Callithrix jacchus: one gene and its partners. The main gene of each other region encodes a partner of the protein of the gene in region 3 in a complex. Links are inferred from orthologs where the notes say so. Each region holds a gene or a part of one and is shown on either strand. Other genes may lie near its edges. The genes, in order: VPS72, ING3, KAT5, MORF4L1, BRD8, ANP32E and TRRAP.

The links.
Region 1: KAT5 (region 3) and VPS72 share a complex: the UniProt entries of both Homo sapiens proteins name them as parts of the nuA4 histone acetyltransferase complex. The link is inferred for Callithrix jacchus from reciprocal best matches to the Homo sapiens genes KAT5 and VPS72.
Region 2: KAT5 (region 3) and ING3 share a complex: the UniProt entries of both Homo sapiens proteins name them as parts of the SWR1-like complex. The link is inferred for Callithrix jacchus from reciprocal best matches to the Homo sapiens genes KAT5 and ING3.
Region 4: KAT5 (region 3) and MORF4L1 share a complex: the UniProt entries of both Homo sapiens proteins name them as parts of the nuA4 histone acetyltransferase complex. The link is inferred for Callithrix jacchus from reciprocal best matches to the Homo sapiens genes KAT5 and MORF4L1.
Region 5: KAT5 (region 3) and BRD8 share a complex: the UniProt entries of both Homo sapiens proteins name them as parts of the SWR1-like complex. The link is inferred for Callithrix jacchus from reciprocal best matches to the Homo sapiens genes KAT5 and BRD8.
Region 6: KAT5 (region 3) and ANP32E share a complex: the UniProt entries of both Homo sapiens proteins name them as parts of the SWR1-like complex. The link is inferred for Callithrix jacchus from reciprocal best matches to the Homo sapiens genes KAT5 and ANP32E.
Region 7: KAT5 (region 3) and TRRAP share a complex: the UniProt entries of both Homo sapiens proteins name them as parts of the SWR1-like complex. The link is inferred for Callithrix jacchus from reciprocal best matches to the Homo sapiens genes KAT5 and TRRAP.

What each region holds. Positions count from the first base shown.
Region 1 is NC_133519.1:11,082,130-11,086,239, reverse strand, and holds the start of VPS72 (vacuolar protein sorting-associated protein 72 homolog), read left to right. Parts: upstream 1-1,310; 5' UTR 1,311-1,386; coding exon 1,387-1,503; intron 1,504-4,110. UniProt on the Homo sapiens protein: Deposition-and-exchange histone chaperone specific for H2AZ1, specifically chaperones H2AZ1 and deposits it into nucleosomes.
Region 2 is NC_133512.1:126,145,823-126,149,322, reverse strand, and holds part of ING3 (inhibitor of growth protein 3), read left to right. Parts: intron 1-644; coding exon 645-741; intron 742-2,527; coding exon 2,528-2,599; intron 2,600-3,372; coding exon 3,373-3,492; intron 3,493-3,500. UniProt on the Homo sapiens protein: Component of the NuA4 histone acetyltransferase (HAT) complex which is involved in transcriptional activation of select genes principally by acetylation of nucleosomal histones H4 and H2A.
Region 3 is NC_133511.1:122,810,577-122,813,260, reverse strand, and holds the end of KAT5 (histone acetyltransferase KAT5), read right to left. Parts: intron 2,452-2,684; exon of another isoform or gene 2,222-2,451; coding exon of another isoform or gene 2,180-2,221; exon of another isoform or gene 1,858-2,179; coding exon of another isoform or gene 1,684-1,857; exon of another isoform or gene 1,519-1,683; coding exon 1,359-1,518; exon of another isoform or gene 1,234-1,358; coding exon 1,152-1,233; exon of another isoform or gene 1,060-1,151; coding exon 925-1,059; 3' UTR 501-924; downstream 1-500. Other genes in the region: RNASEH2C (ribonuclease H2 subunit C), read left to right, coding at 1-55, 1,684-1,857. UniProt on the Homo sapiens protein: Catalytic subunit of the NuA4 histone acetyltransferase complex, a multiprotein complex involved in transcriptional activation of select genes principally by acetylation of nucleosomal histones H2A and H4.
Region 4 is NC_133507.1:29,178,285-29,181,784, reverse strand, and holds part of MORF4L1 (mortality factor 4-like protein 1), read left to right. Parts: intron 1-1,049; coding exon 1,050-1,151; intron 1,152-2,172; coding exon 2,173-2,261; intron 2,262-2,665; coding exon 2,666-2,838; intron 2,839-3,395; coding exon 3,396-3,480; intron 3,481-3,500. UniProt on the Homo sapiens protein: Component of the NuA4 histone acetyltransferase (HAT) complex which is involved in transcriptional activation of select genes principally by acetylation of nucleosomal histones H4 and H2A.
Region 5 is NC_133503.1:36,552,337-36,555,836, reverse strand, and holds part of BRD8 (bromodomain-containing protein 8), read left to right. Parts: intron 1-2,419; coding exon 2,420-2,509; intron 2,510-3,043; coding exon 3,044-3,112; intron 3,113-3,500. UniProt on the Homo sapiens protein: May act as a coactivator during transcriptional activation by hormone-activated nuclear receptors (NR). Isoform 2 stimulates transcriptional activation by AR/DHTR, ESR1/NR3A1, RXRA/NR2B1 and THRB/ERBA2.
Region 6 is NC_133519.1:10,155,253-10,158,752, forward strand, and holds part of ANP32E (acidic leucine-rich nuclear phosphoprotein 32 family member E), read right to left. Parts: intron 1,750-3,500; coding exon 1,600-1,749; intron 198-1,599; coding exon 75-197; intron 1-74. UniProt on the Homo sapiens protein: Histone chaperone that specifically mediates the genome-wide removal of histone H2A.Z/H2AZ1 from the nucleosome: removes H2A.Z/H2AZ1 from its normal sites of deposition, especially from enhancer and insulator regions.
Region 7 is NC_133503.1:14,714,028-14,718,282, reverse strand, and holds the start of TRRAP (transformation/transcription domain-associated protein), read left to right. Parts: upstream 1-1,455; 5' UTR 1,456-1,554; intron 1,555-3,404; exon of another isoform or gene 3,405-3,510; intron 3,511-4,255. UniProt on the Homo sapiens protein: Adapter protein, which is found in various multiprotein chromatin complexes with histone acetyltransferase activity (HAT), which gives a specific tag for epigenetic transcription activation.

The DNA of each region.
Region 1 (4,110 bases), on a different chromosome or scaffold from region 3:
AAAGAAAAAGAAAATGTGGCTGGGCGTGGTGGACCACGACTGTAATCCCAGCACTTTGGGAGGCCGAGGCAGGCAGATCACAAGGTCAGGAGATTGATACCATCGTTGCTAGCACAGCGAAACCCCGTCTCTACTAAAATTACAAAAAATTAGCCGGTCGTGGTGGCGCGCGCCTGTAGTCCCAGCTACTCGGGAGGCTGAGGTGGGAGGATTGCTTGAGCCCAAGAGTTCTGGGCTGTAGTGCACTATGCCGATCGGGTGTCCGCACTAAGTTCGGCATCAATATGGTGACCTCCAGGGAGCGGGGGACCACCCGGTTGCCTAAGGAGGGGTGAACTGGCCCAGCTCGGAAACAGAGCAGGTCAAAACTCCCTTGCTGATCAGTAGTGGGATCGTGCTGCACTCCAGCCTGGACAACATAGCAAGACCCCATCTCTTAAAAAATAAATAAATATAAATATAAAATAGGCCGGGTGCGGTGGTTCACACTTGTCATCCCAGCACTTTGGGAGTCCGAGGAGGGTGGATCACCTGAGGTCAGGAGTTCGAGACCAGCCTGGCCAACATAGTGAAATCCTGTCTCTACTAAACATGCAAAAATTAGCCGGGCGTGGTGGCGGGCGCCTGTAATCCCAGCTACTAGGGAGGCTGAGACAGGAGAATTGCTGGAACCGGGGATGTGGAGGTTGCAGTGAGCCAAGATCACGCCACCAAACTCTGCCTGGGAAACAGAGAGAGACTCGACATCAAAAAATAATAATAATGACAAACAGACACAAGAACAGAAATGAGAAAATACCGCATGTTCTCACTCATAGGCGGGTGTTGAACAATGAGAACACATGGACACAGGGAGGGGAGCACTACACACTGGGGTCTGTTGTGGGGAATAGGGGAGGGACGGCGGGGGATAGGGAGTTGGGGAGAGATAGCATAGGGAGAAATGCCAGATATAGGTGAAGGGAAGGAAGGCAGCAAATCACACTGCCACGTGTGTAACTATGCAACTATCTTGCATGTTCTTCACATGTACTCCAAAACCTAAAATGCAATTTAAAAAAAGAAAAATAAATAATAAAATAAATAAAATGTGTTGACTTAGGGTTGTGGGGGGCCATTGTGTCACCAAGTGGACTCATTGAGCAAGGCAGATTATTGGGTGCTAAGGCAAGCGGCTTGGAGGCTCCGCACAGGCATAGGACAGGCTGAAGAGTAAAGAGGATTTAGAGGCAGAGACTAGAAATCTCTCGACACTCTGCTACTTCTGCCTGTAAACGCCCAACTTCCGCCGCTGGCGGCCACCCGCAGGTAGTGGTGTTGAGCGTCGAGCTTCCAGAACCGCGCTGTTGAGGGGTCGCAGGTGGCCGCGAGGTCTAAGTAGACGGTATGAGTTTGGCTGGAGGCCGGGCCCCCCGGAAGACCGCTGGGAACCGGCTTTCGGGGCTTCTGGAGGCAGAGGAAGAAGATGAGTTCTACCAGACGACTTATGGGGGTTTCACAGAGGCAAGATCCGGGCCTGGGAAAAGGGAGGGGAGGAAGCGAAGAGGAGCCCTGAAGGACGCAACCCGGGATAAAGAAGAGGGCGGGGAGTAGAGAGGAGCTCTGGGAGCTGATATTCGAGATGGCTGGGTGAATCGGAGTGTGTGGGTGGGGGCGGGGGAGCGGATAGTTTGTGGAGGCCTAGAAGGGAGAGCTCTGGATGGGGTCAAAGGGGCCTGGGAGGGAGAAGCTCTCAGGAGGCACTATGGAGAACGGCGGAAACCTGCCGTGTACTTCTCTGGTTGCATCTCCCACTGTCCTACTGACGTCCAGCATATGCGAGGCACACGCAGTAGTCAGCTGCTCGGTGTGTACTCGTTGGCCTACTGCTGGGTTATTCATCGGAGACACGGGAAGGAACTGCTCCAAAGGTAGAGGAGCTTAGCCCACTCCTTTTTCAGCTTCAAGTCTCAGTGTACATGTTTTCTCCGAAAGATAACCCTTCCTTGACTATCCTGACAAGTGTCCCCATTTATTACCTTCACAGGACATAGTTCAGCTTGTAATTAGATTTGGTTTGCTTACTTGCTTATACTTTTCTATTGCGTTGTAAACTCTATAAAGTTAGAGACGGTCTGTTTTATTCAACATTATGCGTGAGGTGTCCGGACTGGGCTGCCACTTGCTGAATTTTTATTAGTTGAATCTACCTATTTATTAAATGTGTTGAGAACCCAGAGCATGCCATTGGTGATAGGTTGTGTTAGGCTCTGTTTTCTAGGGAAACAGAATATTAAAAACACTGTTCTGTCCTTACATACTCGATACCCCAGTGGGGTAACTGGCTGGGTTAACAGTCAGTTAAAATACTGTGTGATAGGCCTGTCGCGGTGGTTCACGCCTGTAATCTCAGCACTTTGGGAGGCCGAGGCGGGCGGATCACCTGAGGTCAGGAGATCTCGACCAGCCTGACCAACATGGTGAAACCCCATCTCTACTAAAAATAAAAAAATTAGCTGGGCATGGTGGCACGCACCTGTAATCCCAGCTACTTGGGAAACTGAGGCTGGAGAATCACTTGAACCCAGAAGGCAGAGGTTGCAGTGATCGGGGATCATGCCATTGCACTCCGGCCTGGGTGACAAGAATGAAACTCCATCTCAAAAAATAAATAAATAATAAATAGCCGGGCTCGGTGGCTCACGCCTGTAATCCCAGCACTTTGGGAGGCCGAGGTGGGTGGATCACGAGGTCAAGAGATTGAGACCATCCTGGTCAACATGGTGAAACCCCGTCTCTACTAAAAATACAAAAAACTAGCTGGGCACGGTGGCGCATGCCTGTAGTCCCAGCTACTCAGGAGGCTGAGGTAAGAGAATTGCCTGAACCCAGGAGGCAGAGGTTGCGGTGAGCCGAGATCTCACCATTGCACTCCAGCCTGGGTAACAATAGCAAAACTCCGTCTCAAATAAATAAATAAATAATAAATAAAGTTTAAAAAAAGTCTGGGTGTGGGTGGCTCACACTTGTAATCCCAGCACTTTGGGAGGCCGAGGTGGGCGGATCACCTGAGGTCAGGAGTTCTCGACCATCCTGACCAACATGGTGAAACCCCGTATCTACTAAAAATACAAAAATTAGCTGGATGTGGTGGTATGTGCCTGTAGTCCCAGCTACTTGGGAGGCTGAGGCAGGAGAATTGCTTGAACCCTGGAGGCAGAGGTTGCAGTGAGCTGAGATTGTGCCACTGCACTCCAGCCTGGCACCTGGTGACAGAGTGAGAGACTGTGTGTCAAAAAAAAAATACTGTGTGATAAGGACTAAAACAAGGGGTAAGATAGAGTGCAAAGGTAATACATGTGAGCCAAAGTTTTTAATCAGGATAGGCATCCCTGGAGAGATGATGTTTAAGCTGAGGAGTTTGAAAAGTAGGCCTTGGCTTGGTGAAAAGCAGGAGGAGAAAGGTTAGTCCACAGAGCAGGTTGGGTAGAGTAGGTAAAGTTGAGATCTTTGTCTGGGACCTGCAAGTCTACTCTCATCCTCCAGAGCATGAAGGAGACTAAATATTGATAAGCCTGGAGGGAGTAGGCATGGGCCACATCATTGGCGGCCTTGTGAGCCATGTTAAGGAGTTTTGCTCTTCATCCAGAGGACTGAGATGAGTCATCAGAGTTCCATGATGAAATTTGTTCCTTAGAAAGATTACTTATGGCTGGGCGAGGTGCCTCATGCCTGTAATCCCAGCACTTTGGGAGGCTGAGGTGGGCAGATCACCTGACGTTGGGAGTTAGAGACCAGTCTGACCAACACGGAGAAACCCCGTCTCTACTAAAGATATAAAATTAGCTGGGTGTGGTGGTACATGCATGTAATCCCAGCTACTCAGGAGGCTGAGGCAGAATCACTTGAACCTGGGAGGCTGAAGTTGTGAACGGAGATCGCACCACTGCACTCCAGCCTGGGCAACAAGAGCAAAACTTCATCTAAAAAAAAATAAATAAATAAAGATTACTTACTTTGTAATGAGAATGGCTAGAAGGGGGCATGGTGGTAAAGAAACAGAACCCACAGAATTTAGGGGCCCATCGCGATGGCTCATGCCTGTAATCCCAGCACTTTGGGAGTCCAGGA
Region 2 (3,500 bases), on a different chromosome or scaffold from region 3:
ATAAAATTTTGCCAACTTAACTAGGGAAGTAGTATTATAAATAAAATAATTTTAACCAGACCTTTTGAGGAATGGAATTTTCTGATTAAAAACCCCTTTTGTTACTCTTCATGTAAATGTTTACAAGCATAATGGTTCACTTTCATGCCTAAGAGAAATAGATGTGTAGAAAACAGGAGCTTCTTTATAGACTAAGGATCTTTCATCATTCTAAATAATAGGTTTTATCATATGACAGTGTGGATGATGGCCTTATAAGTAGGAGGAGATTAGGCTTTAAGTAATAACAGGGCATACATTATGAAAAGTAAGCAGCCTCCACTCCCTCCTCCCATCTCTAACCCCTAATCTCAGTTTTTCTCTAATTTTCATGTCCTTACTTCTGAAAATGGAGTATAGAATATTTCCTAACAAGTTGAGAGTCCGGGTCTTAGAACTTAAAAATATTAAAGGAGACTTGGGAGATTACTAGCGTAGCACCCTCATTTTATAGATTAAAAACCTCTGAGGCATAGGTTAATTGACTTGCTTAAAGATACTAAGCAGATTCACTAAAAGAAACAAAGATTTAGGTTTCCTCATTAAACTGACACTTTAACAGTGTCCCAAATTTTGGTGGTTATCTTTGATCTTCTTTGAAACAGGTAGATCGACACTTGAGAAAGCTGGATCAGGAACTGGCTAAGTTTAAAATGGAGCTGGAAGCTGATAATGCTGGAATTACAGAAATATTAGAGAGGCGTAAGTAAAATTTACAGTTTTCCATCAATATTGGACAGTACATGTGCAAATCACTGAGAAGACGTTTGTCCCACAGAGGCTTTTCAAATCCTGCCCTTAAGTGAATGGTGGCATCTAGGCCAGATAGCTTGGACCCTAGCAGCTGGAAATGTTTGGGTCATGGATACTGAGAGAGATAATATAGGATACCATCCACTCACTTTTTATGAAATAGCATATTAAATCATTTTTATATCCTCATATCCTAGTAAGTTGAGTGGTAAGAACAAAAATTTAGAGAAACATAACCGTCGGGAGACAAATTATCTATCTTGCATTAAATGTGTTGACTTTACCCTGCCTCTTTATATACTTAAGCTTTGAGGAAGGTGGTTAGTTTCTCTTCATAAGAATTACTTTATGGCTTTTCCTTAACTGTATATACTGAAAAAGATCCAACTTGGTTTCATAACACTACCTCTTTTTCTTAAGGAAGTGTTTCCTTCTTTCGCTTATCAGCAAGAAACCATTTAAATATTTCTTTGCAAGGCTCTATTTGATCTCCTGCTATAACTTAACCCTGTCACTTCTTTTGGGAGGTATGACCTCCCAAAAATGGAAGCATGAACACTGGTTCCTTAACTAATTTAGCATTTCTTCTAACCTAAATAGGTAACGTACATAAAAGCAGTTAGTGTGGTACTAGGTGTAGAGTAGGCACTCACTAGATGTTAACTGAACCAAATTAGTATTATGGCTAATTTCTACTAGAGTTTAATTAAAACTTACAAACATATTTTTTCTTGGTGCATTTCAATAGCAGGAATACGTACCTGTTTCTACACACAGAGGAAAGGTTTCTTTATAGTGCCAATCTATGTATCTCTGTATAGTCACCATAAGTCAGCTAGGGAAGCCAATCACAAGTCTGTCTTGATATCCATAGTTCCATGTTTGTGTTCAAAAGTAGATCCATCACTTTAGATAACCATCCTATTTATTTGTGATACTTTTCTTCTTGAGGAACCCTATCTGAAGATTTAATAAGTATTTTGAGACAAAACTTAAAATTCTTTAGCTGCTTTGATTTTCTTTAAAATGCCGATGATAGCTGTGAGTAATGATAATTCATGCCTATTCAGTACTGCAGGAAGGTTAATAAAGCATCCTCTCTAAGGACACAGACATATGAAGCAAAATTGGATCAAGTTATAAAAAGTGCTCCACCCTGTGCCCTGCCATAATTTCATCTCAAGGGATCAAAAAATAAACCCAGAAAATTTCATTAGAGTTATTTTTAAGCTTGGTGTTATTCTTCTCACTTTTGCAAGCAAAATCCCTAACTACTTTTATGAAGTCTTTATTATCATAATGGCATTTTAATAATCAAATAATTTTTTTCATATAGTAATGTCCCCCATTACATAGAACTTTAGAATCTCCCTTTAAAAGGTCTTCAATTCAGTAAAACTAGGTTGGCTCTTACCAGTAATGAGATTACAATGTCCATTCATCCATTTATATGCACCCACTGTGGTAAATTCCCTAATTAGACACAAGTATGCCTTGAGCCATTTTGTACTTAAGATAAATATTGGGAAAAGAACTTATTGTTTAGAGAGAGGATAACTCAGTGTGGGATGGACAGTGGTGATCCTTTAACATGTCTGGCTAAAATGATACAGGCATATGCATCAGAACTTGCTAGTCCTCCTCTGGGTAAGGGAACTCATTGCCTGTAGTAGACTAACATGTGAAGTTCTGTGGTGACATTTAATAGTGGTGTATCTCTGTGCCTCTCTTTTAGGATCTTTGGAATTAGATACTCCTTCACAGCCAGTGAACAATCACCATGCTCATTCACATACTCCAGTGGAAAGTAAGTTTGGTGTAGTACAGCTAAGTTTTGAAAAACAATTAAAACCTTATTATATCACTTGTATATTCTCTTTTTTTTAACTTTATTCAACCAATTGAGGAAGAAATCCCTTCCTTTTTTTTTTTCATTGCAAGTACTGCAGACTATCTTTTTCCTTGTGGAAAGCTTATATGATTCAGAAATGAGTGTTCTGTTTTCTCTTAAATGTTCTCTCTTAAAGGGAGAATGTATGGTACTAATAGCATATATTCCTTCCCTACGCATACCTGATTCTCCTTAGGGAGCTTTACAATTGAGCCAGACAATAAACTGTTCTGTAATAGGCCCTTTTCTTTTTCATCCTTGCTTCTCCAGTGCTTAACCTAATGTTTGGCATGTAATTAAGTCTGAATGGCTACTAAGTTAGTGAGTGGATGAATTGTTAGATGACGGGCTGGCTAGTTGATATAGGAAAGGATAGTTGACTGAAAACTTTTCTAAGTGGTAAATAATGCTTTGAAAACAAAATTTTCCTCATATTGTATGGGAGGCCATGGTGCATGTTGGGTTATCTTTAGTACTTTGGTACTGAAGTTTTTTAAATGGCAGAGAAGTCTACTCTTAATAAACATGTAACACAGAGTTCTGCTTGCCCTGCCTTCTGAGGAAACATCATGTTCTGTATTTTAGAGGAACCCAGATCATACTGTTCCACGTTGTAACTGGATAGAAGTATTATATCTTGTCCATAGTTCTCTAAAGTTTAAAAACACGTGAATTCTTTATTTATTTAGAAAGGAAATATAATCCAACTTCTCACCATACAACAACAGATCATATTCCTGAAAAGAAGTTTAAATCTGAAGCTCTTCTATCCACCCTTACATCAGATGCCTCTAAGGAAAATACGCTAGGTAAGTTA
Region 3 (2,684 bases):
TGGCCCGGATGCCAAAGTGCGTGGGGCCTTAACTTGGCCCAGCCTCGCGGCAGCGGTGAGTACACAAGGAGCCCCCTTTCTGGATCTTGCCCTGGGTGGAGTTTTGGAACACGGGCTGAGGAGCACAGTAGGGCAGACGGAGCCTGGAGGATTCTACTGTGTAGTGCATGGGAAGCGCGGCTCCCCGCATGTCCTGAAGGGGTTATTCTGAACAGCTGGGTGGTTCCCCGGGTGTGGGGGTCAGCCTGCCGCCCTGTCTTACAAGCCCAACAGCAGAGGCGACTCCTGTTGCAGATTCACGCACAGGTGCCCGAGGACTGAGAACCAGAGCTTGAAATTGAAAGCCACGATCCCTTCCTTCACAGCAGTAAACCAGTTCTTCATTTTGGAGCCACTGATTCCATCACCCCAATAAAGGAGCTCTTCACAGCACCTGAGTCTGCGCGCCTTAGAGGCCTTAAGCCAGCATGGGCCCCTTTCCCACAAGAACCTTGCAGGGCTCTGGCATAAAGAAACAATTTATTGCCAGGGCAATGGGAATAAGAAAGTCCAGAATCCTTTGCAGCCAGCACCCACCCCACCCCCAACTTCTACTTTACAAAAGAAATTTTTACAATACTAGCCCTCTGTACAGAGCTCCCCCACCCCCCATCTCACTGTACACAGCTGCCTGGCTCCCTCTGGTCCCTGGTTCAGAGCAGGCCTGGGCCTGTAGCCAGCTGACCTTGGAGTTGGCCTGAGCCCTGAGCTCGCCTTGGTACTGGGCACCAGTGGGCCCCTGCTAGGCCTGTCCCCTCCTCTTGGAGCTGTCCTCAGCCCCAACTCCCTTAGAGTGCTTTGTGGGAGTTGCAGTGGGGACAGGGTGGGGCGTGCTATCAGCCCCAGTCCTGCTGTTGTCTTGCCACTGCAGTGGGCAGTGCCTGGTCACCACTTCCCCCTCTTGCTCCAGTCCTTGGGAGTGAAGTGCAGACACTTGGAGTCAATGCGCAGGAGCCGCTTGAGCATGGCCCGCTCATGCCCATCCACGATGTCCTCTGATAGTGTGAGGATGTACTGGCCCTGGGCAGAGGAAATGGACCAGCAAGTGGTCAGCCCACAGGGGCCTGCACTCTGCATTCCACACACCTGTCTCCCCCTACCTTCCTCCCTACCTTGTAGTAGTTGATGAGATTGAGGTACTGCAGAGTGGAGATGACATCCTCCTTCTTGATGCTGGTGATTTCACTGATCTCACTGTGGGAGGGCAAAGGTCAGGTCCCCTGAGAACCTTCATCTGTCCCCAGGAGCCCCAGGAGAGAGTGAGAAAGCCCGGGGACAGGCCATGCCATGCACCCCCAGGTAGGTGGGGCCAGGCTCACTTGATGGTGATCTGTGGCCTCTCCCCGCTCTCCGACTTCAGCCCCATCAGGATCTCCAGGATGGTTTGGGACCAGTAACTTCGATAGGACAGGAGGCCAAGGTCTGAGAGGGGCTTCTCAGGGGTCCCTGTTTTCCCTTCCACTTTGGAGAGTTCATAGCCTAAAGCAATGGAGCAGGAGAGGGTAAGATGTCACAGATGAACATAAGCAACATTTGAAAACACAGGTCACCAAGGCAGGCTGCCTAGTTCCCATAGTGGCCCCACCACTTGGCAGTTCTGTGCCCTCAGGAAGAACTAATGGTTGTGTATTCTCTCTTCCCCAGTGTGCTGAGCACAGTGGAGGGTGTGAGGGCACTGAGAGGAACAGCTGCAACAACCACAAGGGAGACCAAAAGCTGGTGAAGGCTTACAGGCAGGGGATGCAGAGAAAATGGCTCAGGGGAAGAAAGTGCCTCCAATTTTCCTTTGCCATCCCAGGCTTGGTGTCTGGGCAGTGAGGAAGGAAGTAAGGACTGATTCCCGTCTCAGATCCAGGCCTGAGGAGGCTTGAATTCTCAGTCAAATCAGTCCTTCTACCTGGGATCTTGGAAGTGTGAGCTGCTCTAAGACCTGTGTGGCCTGACTGGGTGGTTGTGAGGATGCAAGGAGAGAAGGTGCATCAAGGTGCTTCCTAAGACGGGGAGACCATTCCTGAGAGCCAGTGTAACTGACCCTGACAGTGGCTCGCTCCCTCTGACTCGTGCAGACAGGTGAGCACTGGGAAGCAGTGAGATCCTCAGACCCTGCATAGCCCTGAGTGGCTTCACATCTCTTTGGCAGGGTCTTCATTCTCCCCATTCAGGGACCTGGAATGTTTGTTAGTACTAGAAGCCCTTCCTCACCCTCAGCTATAACCAGCCTCATAATGGACCTTAGCCCCCTGGTGATCCCACCCACATCCCATCTCCACTGCGGTCTGAGCTCCAAGACGGACTTGGACTGAGTTTCTTCAAGCATCCACTCGTGCTACCAGGCTGAGAAGTTCCTGAAGATGTGACCCCATCTGGGCATCATTTAACCAATAAAATTCCTCAAATGGACCATAACCTTGATCAATTAAAGCCTCTGTGTCTTCACCAGACCAGCTAGTACTTCCTGTCACCCAGGTCGGAGCTTGGTTATTCCAAGGGTTTGGTGAGTGGTAAGGTAGACAGAATGGGGGGTGACAGAGAGTAAGAGGCTTGGAAGGAGAAGGGGGCCTCAGGGTTGGGAAGGGCAATGAAGAGCCCATGTGTGATGAAGGTCAGAGTCCCTCTGGCTTTAAGAGATCGACCTTCCTGAATAC
Region 4 (3,500 bases), on a different chromosome or scaffold from region 3:
CAGGGTTTCACCACGTTGGCCAGGGTAGTGTTTATCTCTTGACCACGTGATCTGCCCATCCCAGCCTCCCAAAGTGCTGGAATTACAGGCATAAGCCACTGCAGCCAGCCTAGAATTTTTTTTTTTTTAGACAGTTTCGCTCTTGTTACCCAGGCTGGAGTGCAATGGCGTGATCTTGGCTCACTGCAGCCTCCACCTCCTGGGTTCAGGCAATTCTGCCTCGGCCTCCTGAGTAGCTGGGTTTACAGGCACGCGGCACCATGCCCAGCTAATTTTTTTGTATTTTTAGTAGAGACGGGATTTCACCATGTTGACCAAGATGGTCTCGATCTCTTGACCTCGTGATCCACCTGCCTTGGCCTCCCAAAGTGCTGGGATTACAGGCGTGAACCACTGCGCCCGGCCTGGCCTAGAATTTTAATTTCTAACTGGCATAGTTTATATCTGAAGCTAAAAGTAGTAGAATCTGAAAATAGGCATTTTGGGGCAGTTTTTGAAAACTATTAGAAATCAGTATGTTTACTTTTATGAGTTCAAGATGGGTCTTTAAGATGGTTGTGTTAGGAACAGTTGTTTTGATGTCAGTGGTAAATATGAAAATACTAAGTTAAAACGTATCAAGTCTCAGGGTATTTCATTTCCTGAACAACAGGAACTTAAGAATTTTTACCTTAAGTGATAGTGTACTATCACTTATTTCATTTCCTGAACAACAGGAACTTAAGAATTTTTACCTTAAGTGATAGTGTACTAAATAGACTATGGTTCAAGGTCAGATTCTTTTCTCCCAGCAGCAAAGCTGTGTATGGTCTTTTTCATTTACAGTTTTTAAAAATGACAGTTCAGCTGTATGCTTAGCTACTTTGAGAATTTATACCTAGTGCCTTTAAAAGTCAACTCCCTTCCATGTTTGGTATTTAGCAAGAAAGGATAGGGGTTTTGTTTTCTTTTGTTTTATTTTTTGAGATGGTGTCTTACTCTATTGCCCAGACTGGTGTGCAGTGGCGTGATAAAGGTAGGTTTTTAAATACTCTTCTATTTCTGTATAGGAGGAAACATTCATGAACAGAGTTGAAGTTAAAGTAAAGATTCCTGAAGAACTAAAACCATGGCTTGTTGATGACTGGGACTTAATTACCAGGCAAAAGCAGGTAAATTGCTAGCTAATGTGATACATTGTTGCTAGCAAAAAAAAAAAAAAAAAAAGCTTTTATGACTTTGTGATGATAAAGGTGTCAATAACACTTTGGCGATTGCTAGGGCAGGAAGTAATTCTGAAAATAGGTAAAGGCAAAGCAGCATGTGTTTACTGTCTTCATCCCTGCTAATGGTAGGCCATAGAAAGCACCTGTCACCACCTGCAAGATATTCATGACCCTGAAAAGAACCTGAATCTAAGCTCCTGGGTCTGTTACTAGTTTGCAGGAAATAGGATGTTTAATGGAGCGACATGTTTATCCATCATTGAACTCTATAATTGAGAATTTTGTGGGACAAATGAAGCTCTTTAAACAAATGGCATAGGTAGTGTTAGGGATGGTGGGGGGCAGATGATTAGGGACTGCTTGAGGATTATGAGACTTAAAACATATCAGTCATATACAACATACGGACATAGTTTGAATTCTGATTTGAATCCGTTGGAGGATTATGCAGTTACAGCTAAACTGCGAAGATTCAAGCCGTGGCTGTATCACTTACTGTTTGTGAGCTTGGACAAGTTTCTTAGCTTTTTTTGTGCTTTTGTTTCTGCATTTAATGGAATAATAATTCCTATTTGACAATGTCGATGAGAGGATAAAACGATAACTATTTTAATGCTTTAGACTAGGTCTAGCAAATAATATGTATAACAGTAAATGAGTTGGTAATACCACAGAGGCACATTTGTGTCTGTTTTGTGTGTCTAACAGTTTGATATTTTTAAAAGCTGTGCTGTTCTGTCCAGTACAGCCTCACTGGCCACATTTGGCTGTTTAAATAAATAGATGCTCCATAACTTAGAATGGGATTACATCCCAATAGGCCCAGCAGAGAGTTGGAAAATTAAGTCAAACCATTGTAAGTTGGAAACTGTTTGTAATTAAATTTTTATTGTATAAAAATTTTCCCGGTGTAATTTTTTTTAAAAAAAAAGAGTGCTTATATTCAAGCATGTTTTTGTTTTGATAGCTCTTTTATCTTCCTGCCAAGAAGAATGTGGATTCCATTCTTGAGGATTATGCAAATTACAAGAAATCTCGTGGAAACACAGATAATAAGTAAGAATATACACCTTTCAAATACACTCAAAAGACATTCTAAAAAAAATGTGTTTCTAAATAAATCATCTGAAACTTGTACTGACTCTGAAACATATCACCAAAAAGTAGCAAAATAGAATTTCACTGCTTTGACATAGGAGTTGGCTGATCGACTTTTTCTTAAAGGGCCAGATAGTAAATATTTTAGGCACAGTTTAAACTATCATGTAAATATTTGCATAACCATATGAAAATGTAAGTTTGTCAAACGCTGCTTTCATGTGCCTTTTTAAAAAAAAATCTCAGCTGTGGGTTCATTTTTACTAGCTCAACTCTTAATTCTTTAAATTGGTTGATTAAATTATTCTCTATCTCAGTTCTTTTCATTGACCAGTTTTGGAATATTTCTGTTCATTTATCAGGGAGTATGCGGTTAATGAAGTTGTGGCAGGGATAAAAGAATACTTCAATGTAATGTTGGGTACCCAGCTACTCTACAAATTTGAGAGACCACAGTATGCTGAAATTCTTGCAGATCACCCTGATGCACCCATGTCCCAGGTGTATGGAGCGCCACATCTACTGAGACTATTTGGTAATAATGCCATGTTGAAAATAATTTTGCTTTTGGGGGGAGGGTCTTCCCTAAATGAATATGAGATAATTAACTTTCCAAAACATGACTCCATTTTAATTTGAACTTTGATCTAGAATGTTAAATAGCAAAAGAATCTTTAAGAGCAAGAGTTTTAAAAATCATGTATTTCTATTTTATTATTATTTTTGAGACGGAGTCTCACTCTGTCGCCCAGGCTGGAGTGCAGTAACTTCCGCCTGCCGTTTCAAGTGATTCTCCTGCTTCAGCCTCCCAGATAGCTGGGATTACAGTGCCCACTACCACACTCAGCTGATTTTTGTATTTTTAGTAGAAATGGGGTTTCGCCATGTTGGCCAGAGTGGTCTGGCACTCCTGAGCTCAAGTGATCGCCTACCTTGGCCTCCCAAAATGCTGGGATTACAGGCATGAGCCACTGTGTTCGGCCTAAAATAATGTATTTTAAAGGAATTTGCATTTGCTCACATAATTAAAATACATGGTTAAAGTGCTGCTGCCTTGGATGTAACTTTCGATAATTCCTCTTGTTTAAACAGTACGAATTGGAGCAATGTTGGCCTATACACCTCTGGATGAGAAGAGCCTTGCTTTATTACTGAATTATCTTCACGATTTCCTAAAGTAAGTCTATGCTTGGTAGT
Region 5 (3,500 bases), on a different chromosome or scaffold from region 3:
CTGAAGTGAATTACTTTTTTTTTTTTTTTGAGACAGCGTCTCACTCTGCTGCCAGGTGCCAGGCTGGAGTGCAGTGGCACAATCTCGGCTCACTGCAACCTCTGCCTCCCAGTTCAAGCAATTCTCCTGCCTTAGCCTCCTGAGTAGCTGGGACTACAGGTGCACACCACCAGGCCCAGCTAATTTTTGTATTTTCAGTAGAGACAGGGTTTCACCATGTTGGCCAGGATGGTCTTGATCTCTTGACCTCGTGATGCGCCCGCCTCGGCCTCCCAAAGTGCTGGGATTACAGGCTTGAGCCACCGCTCCCGGCCACGAATTACTTTTTAAAGCAGAAAAACATGGAGGCCAAGACCGGCAGATCACCTGAGGTTGGGAGTTCAAGACCAGCCTTACCAACATGGTGAAACCCCGTCTTTATTTTTTAAAAATAAAATAAAATTAAAAATAAAAACAAAGTTGCTTTTATCTGTGACTCCTGGCCTCAAGCGATTCTCCCGCCTCAGCCTCTCAAAGTGCTGAGATTACAGGCATGAGCCACTACACACAGCTAAGTAAGTTACTTTTACTCCGGTAATAAATAGTCTTTTTCTGGACAATGTCAGATCCACCTACTGAGAGAATATAGTATGAACTGTTTGTTTTTTCCATCACTATATCCCAGATCCACCCAGTTGTCTGTGGAAAGGCAAAACTAACAATTATTCTAATGTTTTTTCATTTAAGATATACAGCAGATATATAAATATATACCAGATAAATATATCTATTCATATATATCAGATAAATATATATTTATATATAACAGATAAATTTATATATAAATAACAGATAAATGTTATATATATAACTATATTGTATACAATATATACAGTTTGAACAGCAGATTTATCTGTTATTTATATATAATTTTATCTGTTATATATAAATATATAAATTTATCTGTTATATATAAATATAACAGATAACAAACTATATATATTATATATATATAGTTTGAACAGCAGATTTATCTATTTATTTTTCCCCGTAGAGACAGGGTCTTCCTTTGTTGCCCAGGCTGGGTTTTGAACTCTTGGCTTAAAGCAATCCCACCTCAACCTTCCAAAGTGCTGGGATTACAGGCCTGAGTCACTGTGCCCAGCCTAGATTTCAATTTTTGGTACACATATAGTTTAAAATGTAGATTGGTGAGGAATACCTTCATTTGCTTTTCTGTAACTCCTTAAGTATGAGCAATAGAGTGCTGACATGACACATTGTGACCGTACAAACAGCAGGAAATCTGCAATATGAGACATTTTATCTCATGATAGTTAATAGTCTTGGATGGTAAACTCTACATCCTTATCTTAGAATTTAGATTAAATATGAAATCTTTATTAGAAAGCAGTAGCTATCCAGCCTGAGCAACATAATGGGACCTTGTCTCTACAACAAATACTGAAATTAGCTGCAGGGTGTGGTGGCATGTGCCTGTAGTTCCAGCTACTTAGAGGCTAAGGCAGGGGGATCACTTGAACCCAGCAGGTTGAGGCTGCAGTGAGCCATGATCACACTACTGTACTCCAGCCTGGGCAACAGAACAAGACCCTCTATCAAAAAAAAAAAAAAAAATTGGCTGGGTGTGGTGGCTCGTGCCTGTAATCCCAGCACTTTGAAAGGCTGAGGTGGGTGGATCACTTGAGGCCAGGAGTTTGAGACTCGCCTGGCCAATGTGGCAAAACCCCGTCTCTATGAAAAATACAAAAATGAGTTGGGCATGGTGGTGCGTACCTGTACTCCTAGCTACTTGGGAGGCTGAGGCAGGAGAATCACTTGAACCGGGAGGTGGAGGTTGCAGTGAGCTGAGATCATGCCACTACACTCCAGTCTTGGCAACAGAGCAAGAATCAGTCTCAAGAAAATAAAATTTAAAAATTAAAAGAGAAAGCAATAGTTATTAATAGATATTAATAACTAAGTCTGCTTGGCCAGATAACTTAAGGAGAGATTTTTGAAAACTTCAGATAATTGGGTGCATGTCTTAAGAAAACCTCAGACCGGGCGCGGTGGCTCAAGCCTGTAATCCCAGCACTTTGGGAGGCCGAGGCGGGTGGATCACGAGGTCAAGAGATCGAGACCATCCTGGTCAATATGGTGAAACCCCGTCTCTACTAAAAATACAAAAAATTAGCTGGGCACGGTGGCGCGTGCCTATAATCCCAGCTACTCAGGAGGCTGAGGCAGGAGAATTGCCTGAACCCAGGAGGCGGAGGTTGCGGTGAGCCGAGATCGCGCCATTGCACTCCAGCCTGAGTAACAAGAGCGAAACTCCGTCTCAAAAAAGAAAAGAAAAGAAAACCTCATTACCCACCTGGGGAGACAGAATATTATTTGTGAAGTTACTGTCTCTTTTCTGTCATGTTTTATCCCATAGGACTGATCTAAGCCAGGATGACCCTGTTCAGGATCATTTGCTATTTAAGAAGACTCTCCTGCCAGTCTGGAAGATGATTGCCAGTCACAGGTAGGTCTCCAAAATGGTGATAGGATTATGTTCAGAACTGAAGCAGTAATACATATTGGGTTTTAAGCATAAAAAGAGATATGTTCATACCTCAAATGAGCCATAGTTGAAAGGTAGATTCTGTATCTAAGCCTGATTTATCCCAAAGTACTCACAGCTGCTTTAAGTCAGTACAAGAAATAGTTGCTGTGCCATTTGAATTGCCTCTAGAAATTGGTTCCTACTTCATGATAAAATTTGTATTTAAAATGTATATTCTTCTTTTCAATCTGGTGGATTCTCTTTTTTCACAGAGACAAGGCCTCAGGAACTTTGAACAAATTTCTGAGCCCTAAATCAGTATATTGTAATAATAGTTAAATATTTTATAGTTTTTTTTAAACTCTCTATCAAGAGGGAACAAATAGATTTCTTTCTAATGGTGCTCACATTCTGCATTCTGCAAAAGGAAGTCTACTAAGAACTGAGCTTCTCTTCTCTTTTAGAAAACCTTACCAGGGTTTCTTTATCCTCTCTGGGTTTGTCCCTTAACAGATTCAGCAGTCCATTTCTGAAGCCTGTGTCAGAAAGGCAGGCCCCAGGGTACAAGGATGTGGTAAAAAGGTCAGTGAAAAAGGGGTCGAGAAAGTTTGGTTGCTTTTATATCTGCCTTTTCATTTTTTATTTCCCATCTGTTATTTTTTATTACTTATAAACTCAAGATATGTTTTCATAGCCAAATAAGTTTATAAAGTTATGATGAGCTCAGTATTATATCCTTATTTGAGAAGGAATGCAGGGAACAAAAGGATGATATAGATTTATTTATTTATTTTATATTATTGACTTTTAAGTCATATGATCCATTTATCCATATCTATCTCTATTTATCTATGTGTATATATATATGTGTGTATGTGTGTGTGTATATATATATATATATATATATATTTTTTTTTTTTTTTTTTGAGATGGAGTTTTGCTCTTGTTGCTCAGGCTGGAGTACAATAGT
Region 6 (3,500 bases), on a different chromosome or scaffold from region 3:
AATCAGTAAGACAAACAAATCTCAGAAAATTTAACCAGAAAAAGCAAGCCCAGAGACAAAACCGTTCCACTTACCAGAGCTTCTACTGTACTGAGATCTTTTATTTTGTTTCCACTCAGATTGAGGTAGGTAAGATTTGGACATTTCTCTGCCAGGACTTCTAAGCCTCCAGAAATTATATTGTCACTAAGCTCCAACTATATATTCAACACAGGAAAAAAACAAAGAATAGTAAACGTAGCATGTCAGAGTTTTTTTTTGTTGTTTTTTTTTTGAGGCAGAGTCTCACTCTGTCACCCAGGCTGGAGTGCGGTGGTACAGTCTCCACTCACTGCAATCTCCACCTCCTGGGTTCAAGCAATTCTCCTGCCTCAGCCTCCCGAGTAGCTGGAATTACAGCTCCCGCCACCAGGCCCAGCTAATTTTTATATTTTTAGTAGAGACAGGGTTTCACCAAGTTGGCCAGGCTAGTCTTGAACTCCTGACCTCAAGTGATCCACCTGCCTCGGCCTCCCAAAGTGCTGGGATTACAAGCGTGAGCCACCGAGCCTGGCGTATCAAATATTTTTAAAGTATATCAATTTAAAGCAAAAAAAAAAAAAAGTCATTCTCTCTGGCTTCAAGAAATGATCACTACAGATCGTTAATTTCCAAATTCCTACCTATATCTGCCAAACAATGTATTAGAACATCTACATAATGGGCTCCTAACCCTGCCTGGATTCTAGTTGTACTACATTTGGATTTCATGATGTGAGAAAAATATTTGATTAAATTCAAATTTGTGTTATAAGGCAATTCCACCATTAGATTTAAATTTCTAGGCCGGGCAGAGTGGCTCACACCTGTAATCCCAGCACTGTGGCAGGCCAAGGCAAGAGAATCACTTGAACCAAGGAGTTCAAGACCAGCCTGGACAACATGGTGAAACCCTGTCACTACAAAAAACCACAAAAATTAGCCAGGTGTGATGGCACATGCCTTTAGTCTCAGCTACTGGGGAGGCTGAGGTGGGAGTATGCTTGAGGCTGAGAGGCAGAGGTTCAAGTGAGCTGAGATCACACCACAGCACTCCAGCCTGGGGAGCAGAGTAAGACCCTGTCTCAAAAATAAATGAATAAATAAGGCCGGGCACAGTGGCTCACACATGTAATCCCAGCAGTTTGGGATGTCAAGGTGGGCAGATCACAAGGTCAGGAGTTCAAGACCAGCTTGGCCAACATGGTGAAACCCCATCTCTACTAAAAATACAAAAATTAGTCAGGTTTGGTGGCGAGCACCTGTAATCCCAGCTCCCTGGGAGTCTGAGGCAGGAGAATTGCTTGAACTTCGGAAATGGAGGTTACAGTGAGTCAAGATCACCCCACTGCACACCAGCCTGGGTGACAGAGTGAGACTCCATCTCAAATAAACAAAGGAATAAATGAATGAATGAAAGCATATTAGAGTTGACGCACAAAATCCTATATAATGTTTTCTTATCTCTAGAAACTTAAAAACTTCTAATTAGCAAGCAGAATGGTCATTCAATTTGGCTAAACACTAGACATAATAGTCATGGCTTTGAAATCATGATGCTTCCCGTAAACGCCAACTTACTTTTCGAAGTTTATTTAAGCTGGGAAGCCGGGCCAGTGAACTCAGTTCCACATTAGCCATACTCAGAAATTCTAGTTCTTTGAAAGTATCATTCAGGCCTTCAATTTCCCCATTGACACACAGGCAATTATCAAGGACTAACTCTGTCACCTGTAAGAGGGAACACATTAATTAATGATTCTTTCGTTTGTAATCTTTTTAGCTATAGACTTGGGTCTTGAGACACTGGAAACCACCAATCTCCAGTTTGATCGCCCATTAGTTAAAACAAAACGCAACACAACAAAACCCCATCAATCCCCTTACACAGAGCCTTTTCATCTTCCCCCAAAACTAATATTCAATCTTAAGTCATCACTATAAGTAATCTTTTTTTTTTTTTTTTGAGACGGAGTTTCGCTCTTGTTACCCAGGCTGGAGTGCAATGGCGTGATCTTGGCTCACCGCAACCTCCACCTCCTGGGTTCAGGCAATTCTCCTGCCTCAGCCTCCTGAGTAGCTGGGATTACAGGCACGCGCCACCATGCCCAGCTAATTTTTTATATTTTTAGTAGAGACGGGGTTTCACCATGTTGACCAGGATGGTCTCAATCTCTTGACCTTGTGATCCACCCGCCTTGGCCCCCCAAAGTGCCGGGATTATAGGCTTGAGCCACTGTGCCCAGCCCAGGTAATCTTTTAAACTTCTTTTTTTGTATGTTTTTTTTTTTTGAGATGGAATATCACACTGTTGCCCAGGCTGTAGTGCAATTGCAATAGAGCGATTTTGGCTCACTGCCATCTCCGCCTCCTTGGTTCAGGCAATTCTCTGCCTCAGCCTCCCAAGTAGCTGGGACTACAGGTGCGTGCCACCATACCCAGCTAACTTTTTTTGCATTTTTAGTAGAGACGGGTTTTCACCATGTTGGCCAGGATGGTCTTGATCTTCTGACCTCGTGATCTACCTGCCTCGGCCTCCCAAAGTGCTGGGATTACAGACATGAGGCACCGCACCCAGCCATCTTTTAAATTTAAACTTGGACTAAAGTTCAATATCTGCTTCAAATCACTGATGCATAAGAAACAAACTTTGGGCTGGGCATGGTGGTTCATGCCTATAATCCCAGCACTTTGGGAGGCCGAGGTGGGTGGATCACGAGGTCAAGAGATCCAGACCATCCTGGTCAACATGGTAAAACCCCATCTCTACTAAAAATACAAAAATTAGCTGGGCATGGTGGTGCGTGCCTGTAGTCCCAGCTAACCGGGAGACTGAGGCAGGAGAATTGCTTGAACCCAGGAGGCGGAGGTTGCAGTGAGCCGAGATCGTGCCATTGCACTCCAGTCTGGGTGACAACAGTGAAACTCCATCTCAGAAAAAAAAAAAAAAAAAAAAAAGAAGTTCTCATGTGAAACCTGTTCTGACCCTGATGAAGAAGACCCTCAACATCAGGGAATATATTTATGCAAGGAGGGGGAACTTGAGCTACCAGGAAAAGATTTAAATGAGTTGCCCTAAAACCTACAAAGGGCCGGGTGCGATGGCTCCACCTGTAATCCCAGCTCTTCAGGAGGCGGAGGCAGGTGGATCACTTGAGGTTAGGAGTTCAAGACAAGCCTGGCCAACATAGCGAAATCCTGTTTCTACTAAAAATACAAAAATCGGCTGGGCTTGATGGCAGGCACCTGTAATCCCAGCTATTCAGGAGGCTGAGGCAGGAGAATCACTTGAACCTGGGCGGCAGAGGTTGCAGTGAGTCGAGGTCATGCCACTGCACTCCAACTTTGGTGACGATTAAGACTCTGTCTCACCAAAAAAAAAAAAAAAGAAGAAGAAGAATAAAGAAGAAGAAACTGTTTAATCACTTTTTTTTTTTTTGAGACGGAGTTTCACTGGTTACCCAAGCTGGAGGGCAATGGCA
Region 7 (4,255 bases), on a different chromosome or scaffold from region 3:
GATTGCACCACTGTACTCCAGCCTTTTTTGGTTTGTCATAAGGCTGCGCCATCTCATGTGCATTTTACACTGCGAATTCATCTCCATTCAGAGGGGCCACACCACACCCGGGGTTAGTGGCTGCTGAAGTGGAAAGCACAGCGCTACACTGTCTGGGTACAAATGCATCTGACCATCCCAAGAATCTTCTTCGTCCTCCTTTTTTTTTTTTTTGAGACAGAGTACAGAGTTTTGCTCTTTTTGCCCAAACTAGAGTGCAATGGCACAATCTCGGCTCACCTCAACCTCCGCCTCCCAGGTTCAAGCAATTCCTGCCTCAGCCTTCCAAGTAGCTGGGATTACAGGCATGTGCCATCATGCCTGGCTAATTTTTCTTTATTTAAATAAAAAATTTTTTTTTTTTTTTAAGTAGAGACAGGATTTCTTCCTGTTGGTCAGGCTGGTCTCGAACTGTTGACCTCAGGTGATCTCCCTGACTCAGCCTCCCAAAGTGCCGGGATTACAGGCGAGAGCCACTGCGCCTGGCCTGTTTTTTTGTTTTGTTTTTGAGACAGATTCTCTCCCTCTTGCCTAGTTTAGAGTGCAGTGTCACAATTGTAACTCATAGGTCACTGCAGCCTCTAACTCCTGGGCTCAAGTGATCCTCCCACCTCAGCCTCCCAGGCAGGTGGAACTACAAGCATGCACCACCATGCCCAGGTAATTTTTTTATTTTTGGTAGAGATAGAGCCTCATTATGTTTCCCAGGCTGGTCTTGAGCTCCTAGCCTCAAGTGATCCTCCCCCATCGGCCTCCCAAAGTACTGGGATTACAAGAATAAGCCACTGTGCCTGGCCTCAAGAGTCATTTTTTTTTTTTCCACAATTCTCCCAGTCTAGCCCATAGGGGCCACAAGTCCCTCTTACCAGAGTGACTCTGACCTTCCTCCAAGCATCCTCACCTACGCCATGTGTCTGCGTGCCTGCTACTTAGCATGTAGTTTAGTGCGAAGTAGATGCTTGTGGAATGGCTGAAAGGATGAGTCCTCAAGAACTTGATACTTCAAACTCCTGGCCTCAAGAGATCTGCCCGACTCCGCCTCCCAAAGTGTTGGGATTACAGGCGTGAGCCACCACACCTGGCTTATTGATCATTTTGACATTGACTATATGTTGAAATGATATTTTGAGTATATTGAGTTTTGTAACATTATTAAAATTGATTTCACTTCTTTTTCTTTTTTTGAAATGTGGCTACTTGAAAACTTAAAATTACATACACAGTATGTAGTTTGCAAAGCAGATGCTAAAAGTGGAATGGCTGAAAGAATAAGATGAGGCCTCCCTTTGATAACTCCCCCAAGGCCTTGAACATGACTCAGTGTTGGAAACCATTTGTCCGTGCCTCCTCTGCACTGACCTTGGACTGCTTTCGGAGATGCCATCTCATATAATCATGCAGCAGCACAGAGGGGACATTCTCTCCCCTGGCGCGGTGAGCGTCGGTCACAATAGACACTGAGGGCAGCCTTAACAAAGGATGCCTCGGGCCAAACGTCCAGAACAGCAGCCACAGGTAAGGGTCTGGGGCCCGGGGACAGATCAGACGTTGTGAACAGTCAAATCTCATTCGCCTGGCTCTGGTGGTGGGACCTGTTTTGGTTAATTACATTTTTCTGGGTAATGGAAAGCTCACACTCCTTTGGAGTCAGTTCTTGTTGGTGAAAGTCTTTCTAAAGCAAGTTAGTGTTAGTTGGTCTGTTGGCCCTAGCAAGGTGGTATAATAGAATCTTCTTTGGTCATTCAAGGGCAGCAGCCCTAGGGTCCGTATTCCTACCACACATCCTCATTGTCCTGCGTTGGAAATTGACTATGGGCTGAGGGGGCTGCTGGGCAGGTAACAACGACTCAGAATCAGCTCCTGGGAGATGCATTTGGGGCTAAATCCTGGAGTAGCTTGGAGGGAGCAAAATGAGTTCAGGGATATCCCTTTTTTTTTTTTTTTTGAGACAGTCTCGCTCTGTTGCCCAGGCTGGAGTGCAGTGGCACCATCTTGGCTCACTGCAACCTCCACCTCCTGGGTTCAAGCTATTCTCCTATCTTAGCCTCCCAAGTACCTGGGATTACAGGTGCCCACCACCACGCCTGGCTAATTTTTGCATTTTTAGTAGAGATGGAATTTCACCATGTTGGCCAGGCTGCTCTCAAACTCCTAACATTGTGATCCACCTGCCTTGGTCTCCCAAAGTGCTGGGATTACAGCCGTGAGCCACCACACCCAGCTAGGCCTCCCACTTTCTTGGGGTAGTGGTGGTAGGACCACAGCAGATTTTGCTCACAAATAGGCAACCTCTTCCGTGATGGAAGGGCTATTCTGAAGCATTTTGTTTCTCCTGGGGCAGAATTAATTGCTGCTAAAAACATCCACTTACAATCCCAACATTTCAGCTGTGGCCTTGCTCTTGAGTGGCAACGTTAAACAAGCAAGGAGCTTCAGAAAAAGAGCACCTCTCCTCCAGAGTATCCATGGGCACTGCAACAGTTATTATCGCAGGGTAGGAAATGTATGTCTGAGAAGGGAACATAATGATCTTGGTGGGTTAGTGATGTGGGGGGGTAGGCGCAGGAAGGTGGAACCAGGGCCTGGAGGTGGCCAAGTTCAGGTCATGTTTCCATGCTCTGTCCCTGTAACATGTCCTGTGTCCCTGTAGCAACCATAGTTCCTGACGGTACGTTTCCCTTCGAGACGCCTTTTGGTCTGGCCCGTGCCACCTCCCTTGGCTCCATCCCCCCTCTATCCCTTCATTACTGGGGCCTGGCCTGAAACTTATTTAAAAAAAAAAAAATCTCCATCAAGTTTTGATGGAGGTAGATCTGCCCGACAGGTGGATCCAGCCTCGGCGGAAAAGCAGCTGGAGAACCAATGAGACCCTTCTGCACCTGGGCAGCCAACTCCAGGAAGCACACCCGGACTTTATTTTGCTAATAGGGTCTCAGTCCGTCACCAGCCTTACCTTCCCAAAGACCCTCCTGGCCTTCTCTCCCTGCTGCGGGATGAGAAGGACCCCAGGAGGGGAGCGGGGAGTAGGGGTGGCAAACTCTGCCCTGCTTGCCACCTTCAGTCCAGTGGTAGACGATACCTGGGCCCCATCGCTGCCAACTCGGGAAAGCCCTCCCAACTTGCCCACGGCCCCCAGGATCCCCGAGCACTCCCCGCGGCCTGACTTCTGGGAGTAGACTTAGGGGCCGATGAAGCCCCTAGAACCTGGGCGCTGGCCTGGCCCGATCACGGCTGGCGGGGGGTTAAAGGGCCGGGGCCCACCGAGATGGTGGACGCCCCTCCCCGCGCCCGCGCCCGCCCAGGCCGCACCCACTTGGGGGCGGTACGCCGGGGCCTGGTGCACGGTCGGCGGGCGCGGCCGCTTTAAGCGGGGGCGGGACTGCGCGCGGCGGAGCGGCGGCGGCGAGGGTTCGGCTGGGGGTTGCAGGGGTCGCGGGCCGGGCCTGCTGCAGCCGGGTCGCCAAGGTCGGGGTAAGTTGGGGGGCGGGTGTCTGAACGGCCCCGGGAGGTGCGCTCGGCCCCCGGGCATGGGGAGGCCTCTGCAGTGCGGCTGCTCGGCGGAGGGAGGGAGTGGGGGGGCTCCGAGCGCCCCGGGGTTCCTTAGGCCTCCGCCAGGGTCCACCGGGGGCTGCAGGGACTACGGCGTTCGCGGCCGAGCTGAGAGGAAGCCGTAGGAGGCGCAGCACTCGCGGGTGCGGGAATTGGCGCTCGGCGCTCGCCGTAGCTCGGTTTGGGACGCGGTCGCGTTGAGCCCGGGACTGCGACAAAAGGAAGGAACCAGAGGGCCGTTTGTGAGCTGAGAGGTCGGGTGGGACGTTGCGGGGGGGGGTCCCTTTTCTCGGGAGGCGCCCCCCGGCCAACCTGGCACCTCCGGGCCTCCACGCAGGCACCGGACTGGTTAGGCCCGGCTCGGGGAGCGAAGGTTGCGGTGACCACAGCGCCCCCTCTGGCCCGGCGGCGCCGCCTCAGGCCGGGTTTGGCGGGGTCGGGGCGGGGGATTGGGAGGGGCGGCGGGGCCGTTCGTCCCCGGGAGAGGGAGCTGCGCGTCGCCGGCCCGGCCTGGGCCCTCGGCACCCGGCAACCGGCACCCGGGGTGGCGAAGCCGCTTTCTCGCAGACACGCGGAATGGGGGCGTTTCTCCCTAGCCAGGGCCCCTAGGCTCTGTGGGACCCTCGAAAATGAAGAGTTGACGACTTCTGTGGGAAGGGGGAAGTTT